Canis lupus familiaris: one gene and its partner. The protein of the gene in region 1 binds, or shares a complex with, the protein of each later gene. Links are inferred from orthologs where the notes say so. Each region holds a gene or a part of one and is shown on either strand. Other genes may lie near its edges.

The links. The genes of interacting proteins can lie anywhere in the genome.
Region 2: CDHR5 (region 1) and ANKS4B share a complex: the UniProt entries of both Homo sapiens proteins name them as parts of the IMAC/intermicrovillar adhesion complex. The link is inferred for Canis lupus familiaris from reciprocal best matches to the Homo sapiens genes CDHR5 and ANKS4B.

The regions. Positions count from the first base shown.
Region 1 is NC_049239.1:26,066,409-26,070,336, reverse strand, and holds the start of CDHR5 (cadherin-related family member 5), read left to right. Parts: upstream 1-1,127; 5' UTR 1,128-1,193; coding exon 1,194-1,248; intron 1,249-1,341; coding exon 1,342-1,517; intron 1,518-1,799; coding exon 1,800-1,850; intron 1,851-3,006; coding exon 3,007-3,099; intron 3,100-3,211; coding exon 3,212-3,313; intron 3,314-3,423; coding exon 3,424-3,534; intron 3,535-3,608; coding exon 3,609-3,779; intron 3,780-3,928. UniProt on the Homo sapiens protein: Intermicrovillar adhesion molecule that forms, via its extracellular domain, calcium-dependent heterophilic complexes with CDHR2 on adjacent microvilli. Thereby, controls the packing of microvilli at the apical membrane of epithelial cells.
Region 2 is NC_049227.1:24,464,794-24,468,810, reverse strand, and holds the start of ANKS4B (ankyrin repeat and SAM domain-containing protein 4B), read left to right. Parts: upstream 1-1,217; 5' UTR 1,218-1,244; intron 1,245-2,842; coding exon of another isoform or gene 2,843-2,937; intron 2,938-3,541; coding exon of another isoform or gene 3,542-3,625; intron 3,626-4,017. Other genes in the region: ZP2 (zona pellucida sperm-binding protein 2 precursor), read right to left, coding at 1-16, 218-259, 1,065-1,217, 2,843-2,937, 3,542-3,625. UniProt on the Homo sapiens protein: As part of the intermicrovillar adhesion complex/IMAC plays a role in epithelial brush border differentiation, controlling microvilli organization and length. Plays a role in assembly of the complex.

The sequences.
Region 1 (3,928 bases):
AGACGGTGGCCCTCTGAGCTCCCTCTGCGCCGTCCCCCAGGGCGGGGCTGGCGGCACCAGGCGACCACAGGCTCCAGGACTGTGGCCACACCCAGTGCCCTTTACACCTGGGAGCCTGTGGGGCGCCTCACCTCCCTTCTGTCTCCTGTCCTGTCACCTGAGCTCCCCAGAGACCCATCCGGATCCCTGCCAGCTACTCAGCAAACATTCAGGGGCTCTGGGGGGGCACAGGACACCTGCCCTGGAGGCCCCTTGTCACAGTGCCAGCCGGTGGGAGGACCTGGGGGGCAAGGAGGCTCAGGCCGGGCAGGAAGAGGTGACGGGCATGGGTGCCACCAGGGGCCCAGGAGTGCACCCCAGGGGGAGGCTGTGAGCCTGGCTCCTGCTCCCGGCTGTGTGGTCTGAGCCTGTGCAGAGGGGGATGACACCCCAGGGGAGCCACGGAGGCGGTGCTGACACAGGAAGGGATGAGGCCAGGAGCCAAGGGCGAGGAAGCAGAAGGGCCACACCCCCTACTGTCCCTGCGTGGGGGGGGCCTCTCCCCTGCTGCCTTGGGCTTGGGGGCCCTTGGGGTAGGGCGGCAGGGGCCAGGGCCCAGGAGCCTGCCAGGGACCCCTGAAGACCCGGGCTCCCCCCGCCCCGAGCTCCCAGCAGCCTCCAGAAACACTGCCGCCCCCACCCCTGCCCTTGGAGGAAGTGGGGTGTTTCCAGCACAGGCAGGGGCGACCCCAGGACACAGACTGTGCAGGGAGGGGAGGTGGGCTTGGAGGGAACACCCGGGGTCTGACTTGGCTCCAAGATGATTCTGGAAGGAGAGCCCAGCGAAGGGGCGGCCGGGGCTAGGGGGACGGGTGGGTACAGCAGACACGGGAGCCAGGCCTGGGCCCCCAACCCCTGCCCCGGCTGCGCCCACCCAGCACGACCCGGGCCCTGCGCAGGCCCATGGAGCCCTGAGCCGGGAGCCCCCGTGGCCATGGCCCCCGCACGTGGCCCAGGGCTGGTGGGCAACCACGGGACGCCCCCTCCGGGCAGCTGGCCAGGCCTGGGCGGCGGCCGGCGAAAGCCCCCCTGCTGGAGGCCGAGGCCTGTAAAGGATCACACTGTGGGGCGGTGCCTGGTGGGGCAAAGGTCGCCCGCTGAGCCGCCACCCGGCAGCCAGCTGCGCACAGGGTCGAGCAGCGCGGCCCACGGAGATGGGGGCTTGGGCCCTGCTGCTGCCGCTGCTGGTGGCCACGGCACGGGCCCAGGGTAGCTGCGGGGCGGCGGGGGCAGTTGGGGCGGCGGGGGGGGTGCAGGGGCGGGGGGGTGGGGGGCACTGAGCCTTCCCTTCCTGCTCTCCAGTCTGCGCCGTAAGCAACAACATCTTCGAGGTCCAGGAGAACACGATTCAGAGCGGGCCCCTGGCTCACATCGACGTCCCCGCGGGCCAGCAGGTGACCCTCGGGTCGTCGTCCACTCCCTTCGCCTTTCGGATCCAGGGGACTGAGCTGTTTCTCAACGTGACTCCTGACTATGAGGTGCAGACGGGGGGCCGGGTGGGGCCCCACACAGGGCAGCTGAGTGGCGGGCGCGCTCCTCGGACCGGGGCTGTCCCAGGCTCGGGGTCCGTCTGCTCGGGGTCCGTCTGCGCTTCGCTGGCCGCCCCGCCCCCGCATCATCCACGGACCCCTCTGGGGCCTCCAGGCTTGGTGATGCCCTGGCCCCAAGGGGCATAGGGCCATTAGGGGCTGGAGCTGCCCCTGGACTTAGCGTGGACGCTGGGGACCCTGGTGACCACCCGGCCCCCGTCTGCCCCCCAGGAGAACACCCTGCTGGAGGCGCACCTGGAGTGCAAGAGTGGCAACACCGTGGTGAGTACCCCCATCCCCTGCCTCTGGGTCGCCGCCCCCACCCTATGACATCACAGCTCTTGGGCTTGGACCTCTGCACTCTGTTCTGACTGGTCCAGGGCCCCGCCCTGGGGACCTCACCCTGTGCGGTTTACAAGTGTCGCTCCTGGGCTGGCGCCCCCACTTCCTCCCGCCCAGACTGCCCCGAGGTGCAGACCCCCCAGCACAGAGGCACCTTGCCCAACCGGTTCCCTCGCCCCCACCCCCTCCCCACACCTCTCTCCATCGGCAAGTCCGTGAGCTCTGCCTGAAGCTGGACTCCAGACCAACCAGGGCCTTGGCCACCAGCATCTCCCTTCCGGAAACTTGGAGCTGGCTGCTTGCTCCCCTCCCGGCCTCAGCCAGTCCAGTCTCAGTGTGGCAGGACCATCGGGCCCAGCCAGCGGCGCATCCCCGCCCGGCGCCCCGGCTGCTCTCCCGCTCAGAGGCAAGGCTGAATGCCCCGGGCAGCGGGCAGCGCCAGGTGCCCCAGCCCGAGGCCGCTCCAGCTGCCCTTGAGCCCTCTCCCCAGACGCGCACCTGCCTCCCGCTGTCGCCCCTCGGCCTTCGCTCCAGGACCACCTTCTCAAGGGGCCCCTGACCACTCTGTCCTGAGCTGCAAGCCCGGCCCCCACGCACCTGTCGGCTTGCCCACGGTCCCCGGTCCTTCCGATTTTGTCATTATCTGCAAAGGGACTCGTGGGCATCATGTGACCCCCGATGCCCGCCCTCCCCACAGTCACGGAGCCGCCAGCAAGGCCCACCCAGCGAGGCCGCCGGCTACTTCTCTCTAGCATCTGCCCCTCCGGCCCTTCCTCTCTAGTGTGTTTATTGAAGCAATCTCTCCCCTCAACGTGGGCCTGAACTCCCACCCCGAGATCAAGAGTCGCCCCCTCCTCCCACTGAGCCAGCCGGGTGCCCCTCCCGAGCCTCTTTCAACATATGGGTTCCCCTTCCTCTCTTCCTTTCTCCTCGGGAATTATTTTTGAAGCGATTTGCTCATTTCGCCGTGGTTCTCACCTGGGATTGGCGGTGCCCCAGCCCGGCCGGTAGCCAAGTCCTTTGCCCGGGCACCTGCCGTCCCCGGGCTCGCGGCGGCCCGTGTGTGATGCAGGGTGCTCAGGCCGTGTCCCCGCAGGTGACCCAGCTGAGGGTGATTGTGTTTGTGCTGGACGTCAACGACAACCCACCCAAGTTCCCCTTTAAACTCCGGGTGGAGGACGTGCCCGAGGTGAGAGCCGGGGGGCGGGGGGCGAGGGGCCGGAGAGCAGGGCTAGTGGCCTGGGCCTTGGCCTGGGGGACCAGGGGTCGAGGGTGTAGACACCACTCCCCTCCATCCCCAGGACAGTAAAGTGAACACCACTGTCATCCCTGAGACGGAACTGGAGGCTCAAGATCCCGACAAGGATGACGTCTTGTTCTACACCCTCCAAGAGGTGACCCCGGTCAGTGTCCCCGACCCCCACGCCAACTCTGAACCCTCCCGTCGGGCAGCCCCTCTCCATGTTCCCCAGGGTCTCAGGCTGAGTCGCACCCGCCCCCCCCACCTCCCCAGGGTGCTGGTAGCTTCTTCTCCTTGCTGGGCACCAACCTGCCCGCCCTGCGGCTGGACCGGCCCCTGGACTTCTACAAGTGGCAGAACATGAGCCTCCTGCTGCTGGTGCGGGTGAGCAGGCCGGGACACCCCCCCGCTGCCCCCAGCCCCCGCTCGCAGGCCTGACCCCCGCTGCGCTCCCACAGGACACACAGGAGGAGAACGCCCAGCCCAGCCACACAGCCACGGCCACCCTGGTCCTGGACGTGCGGCCCGCCGACCTCCGGCCCCCCTGGTTCCTGCCCTGCGCCTATTCAGACCTTTACGTCTGCATCAACGCCGAGTACCAGGGGGCCATCCCCACAGGCCACAGACTGGTACTGGGGGTGGGGGGGCGGGGGGTGTGTGGGCTTGGGGCCCTGCGGCCGGGCCAGAACCCCTGGGGACCCGCTGAAGTGGGCCGCCCGCCACAAGAGGCACCCCAAGGCGCCGGGGGCAGCGGGGCAGACGCGGGCTCTAGGCCCCC
Region 2 (4,017 bases), on another chromosome or scaffold:
TCCCACCACTGGGATTCTGAAGACAGAAGTTTCATTTAGAGGGCTAGTGCTCACCTTAACCTCAAGACTATTTGTCTATTTTAATCAGGGTTGAAGTTAAGTCATCCACCTTAACCTCAAGACTATTTGTCTATTTTAATCAGGGTTGAAGTTAAGTCATCTTTACTATAGAACAAAAGGTTACTTAGCTCTGTAATTGAAAAAGTTATTTCCATACCGTATTTTCATCAGCCATGCCAGGAATAATGTTAAAGGTAAACTGGAAGAAACGAAACCATGATGTGAGGCTTTGATTTGGAAAAGAAAGTTTCTGAGATCGTGCTACCTGACAGTATGTGCAAAACATCCGGAGCAACTACTGTGTATTTCGTATGCCAAGAGGTCTGATTGTGGGGAATAAGAAGAGGCACAGGCCCAGTCATAAAAACTAGCTGTGCCCTTAGACAATTTCATCTCTGAACTTCTGATGCCAAAAGGCAACTGGAAGATCCTTCCAATTTTGAGACATTGGATCCTTAGGTGTACATTTTAAGCTTTGTCCATAGAAGTCAAGAATTAGGTCAAACCATGCAGTTTTATCATTATTAGAACAAAGTATGAAGGTATTTTGTTTGTCCATTGTCAAATTTAGTTATGTTAGAGTATAAATATCCATGAGTATGTGATTGGGCTGTTTTGCTTTTGTACTATATCCTATCTGGCATAGAGCCTGGGACATGATAAGTACTCAGTTTGTTCAAATGGTTATTAATGTGATTGCAGTTACCAGCGGAATCCTTTCTACTGCCAGGTATGATGTGTTGAGCACTATATATACCCTCTCAGTTAATTCTCAGCACCACCCTAATGTGGTATCATTGTCCCCTACTTTGGGCTTGGAAATAAGGCTCAGTGTGGTTAAGAAACCATCCCCCCGCCCCCCAAAAACAAACAAAAAAAAACAAACAAACAAATTAGTAGTGAAGATAGGATTGCAATCCTGATCCTGTTCCTAACCCCAGCTGTGTAAACCACCTCATTTCCCCTGTAGTCACCATGAGAAGCAGTTAGCCTGCTTCACTCACAGACATGGAATCTTTTGTGCAGATTGTGGATCCTGCATGCTCATGGGTTTCTTCTGTTTGCATAACTGGACAGCTGATCTGATACATGAAAGCCTTATGTCTTGAAGCAGCATTGTTGTCCGTGAGTCTGATGGCCATCTGATGCTGGCCAAGCTGTGTGCAAATGGCATAGTAAGAACAGTAAGTATGGGGACCTCCATGGGAAAGGTGATCCCAGAATACCATTGGACCTAACTGAGGGGCAAACCTCTTGAGGTTACCAGTACCACAGTTTCTGAAAGGTACCTGATTCTTATACCAAGAGACTATAGCTAGCCCTTTTAGATATCCCAGTAAAGACTCCTGTCTTCGCAGCAAATAGTTGCTTGAGCTTCAGGAATTAGGATTTTTTTTTTCTTTTTTTTTTTTTTTTTTTTTTTTTGAGTTCTTCTTGACACTTACCTTTGTCTGAATATCATGGTTCTGGCTAATCTGGGGCCTCTGCCCAAGTCATTCAAACATGCACTGAGCACTTATGTAACTTATGTAGCAGCCATTATTCTGAGGGCTGGACAGAGCCAGGTTTTTGGCAAAGCCAGTATTTACCCCGCTTTAGAGAACTGTTTCTAGTAAGGAACAGTCACCCTTTTTCTATAAAGTATTAGTAAGCATTTTAGGCTTTTTAGGCCATTTATGATTTCTAGCACATGTTTTCTTTTTAAGTCCTAAAACAAAACAAAAAAAAACTTTAACCATTCTTAGCTCAAGGACCATTATGCTTATGCACACCATGGACTAAATGTGGCCATCCATAAGTTATAGTTTGTAGGCCTTTGGTTTAAAGGAAAGCAACTCTAAGCTCTCTACAAGTTGGGAAGGGCTATTTCAGAAAGGAAAAATTACTGAAGATCTTCACTGTGGAATTCGATCAAGTGGCCAGTTACATATGCAGATTTCTAAGATATACCCCAGACTTAAATCATCAATTAAATGAACCACATCTATACTTTCTCAATTCCCCAAATGTTCTTTGCCTACTACAAGCTCGAGAACCGTTTGAGAGGTTTCTTTTACTGGTCCCAATAACTCTGATTAGGCAGTACTGTTGCTTGGCAATAGAGAAAACCCTATTGCTCAGCTGCTGCTTGCTTTCCCACACCTGTTTTTTATAGCATAGCAGTTCTGTTTGCCAGCACCAAAATAGCCTTCCATTTTTCATGGAGGTTACAGATCAAAATAGCTTGTTTTGAGCATTTGTTGTATCTTGGTGCTGTGCCAAGTTCATCTGCATCATATCATTCATCTTTAGATACCTTGTGGAGAGAGTACCATGATTTCCCTATTCTAATGAACAAGCAAAAGCTTAGAAAGGTTAGCTCACTTGCTAGAGATCACAACTAGATAGTGGCAAATCTGGGACTCACAACAAGGCCCCAAGTTCAGGGTTTCTCATCCTCAGTATTACTGGCCTTTCAGGCCTGAAATTCCTGTTAAAGGAGACCACCCTGTGCAATGTAGGCTGTTTATCAGCAACCTCAGCTTGTACAGACAACCCCCCACTCCAATTGTGACAGCCAATAAGGTCTTCAAAGGGTTTCCAAACAGTACCAAATATCGTCTGGGCAGACAAAACAAAAACAAAAGATAAAAACCAACCAACCATCACCACCATGAACACTCACCACCCCTGGTTGAGAATAAATGCTCTCCTCTCAGGTCTGTATCCTTAAGTAGTAGGGTTACTAGTAGTAACTACTAGGTTATTACTTCCCAAATCACTCCTCAGAGCAAATACTTACCACTCTCCTGCTACAGGTCTCATATGGGGCCTTCAGGGTGAGCTTTTCTGGGTCCAGGATAGAAGTACAGTTCAACAATTCAAAACTAAATGGATCTACAGAAGCCAGAGAAAATGGCCAAAAAGTACATTTCAGTGACAAAGTAAACCAAAGCAACACAGTCAAGACTGCCAATCCATTTCTAAGCTACTTCAAATCACTTTGTTTTTTATTGTCCCATCTGGATGTTATGACCCAAGTTTTGAGAGATGCTATAATTTGCAGCTAAAAATTTCCCATTGGAGAAGAAATGGGTAGGAAATATCGGAAAGGGAGACAGAACATGAAGACTCCTAACTCTGGGAAACGAACTAGGGGTGGTGGAAGGGGAGGAGGGCGGGGGGTGGGGGTGAGTGGGTGATGGGCACTGAGGGGGGCACTTGATGGGATGAGCACTGGGTGTTATTCTGTATGTTGGCAAATTGAACACCATTAAAAATAAGTTCATTATTAAAAAAATAAAATAAATAAAAATTTCCCATTGGATTCTGAGAGAAGACGAGTTTTTAAGGAAACAAGGTCTCCCACTCCTGGTGACATCATGCAAATCAGGGACCCCTGTGGTATCATGGGAATTGGATGCCAGTTGTTCCAGAGTATGTGGCACCTGAAAAATGGGGCTAGCTTTGAGGCAAGATTAAGAATATACACATTACTTACCCACCACAGATGCATGCCATTTTTTGGTGCCAAGATCCCTTGGAAATTCCACTGTCATTTTATTTTCATGGCAAATGACAGTACCTGGAGAGCAAAGAAAGCATTTGGGAGTATCTTTGAACCACAGGAGGCAGGATTCCTAAAAAAGTGTATGGGCGCATCTCCTCTCCAACAGGCATCAAGGAAGGATACCAGTTGAGAGAGGCAAAGCTTGACCCCTATTCTCAAGTAGCTCACAGGTTCGTGAGAAAGATCACTACAATGCAAAATACTATAAGGAAGGTATTAATTAAATGCCTGGGGCTTTCTGAAGTTTTCCAGAGTTAAGCCTAAAATAGGGTTAACCATGCATACTTATATGACTAGAACCTTGACGGTGAGGCTAATGGAGGTGGAGATGATAGGTCTGTAAAGAACTGGAGAACAAATGTTGTGTCTAAAGACTTTCCAACTTGAAGTTTAAAAAACGTCCTACA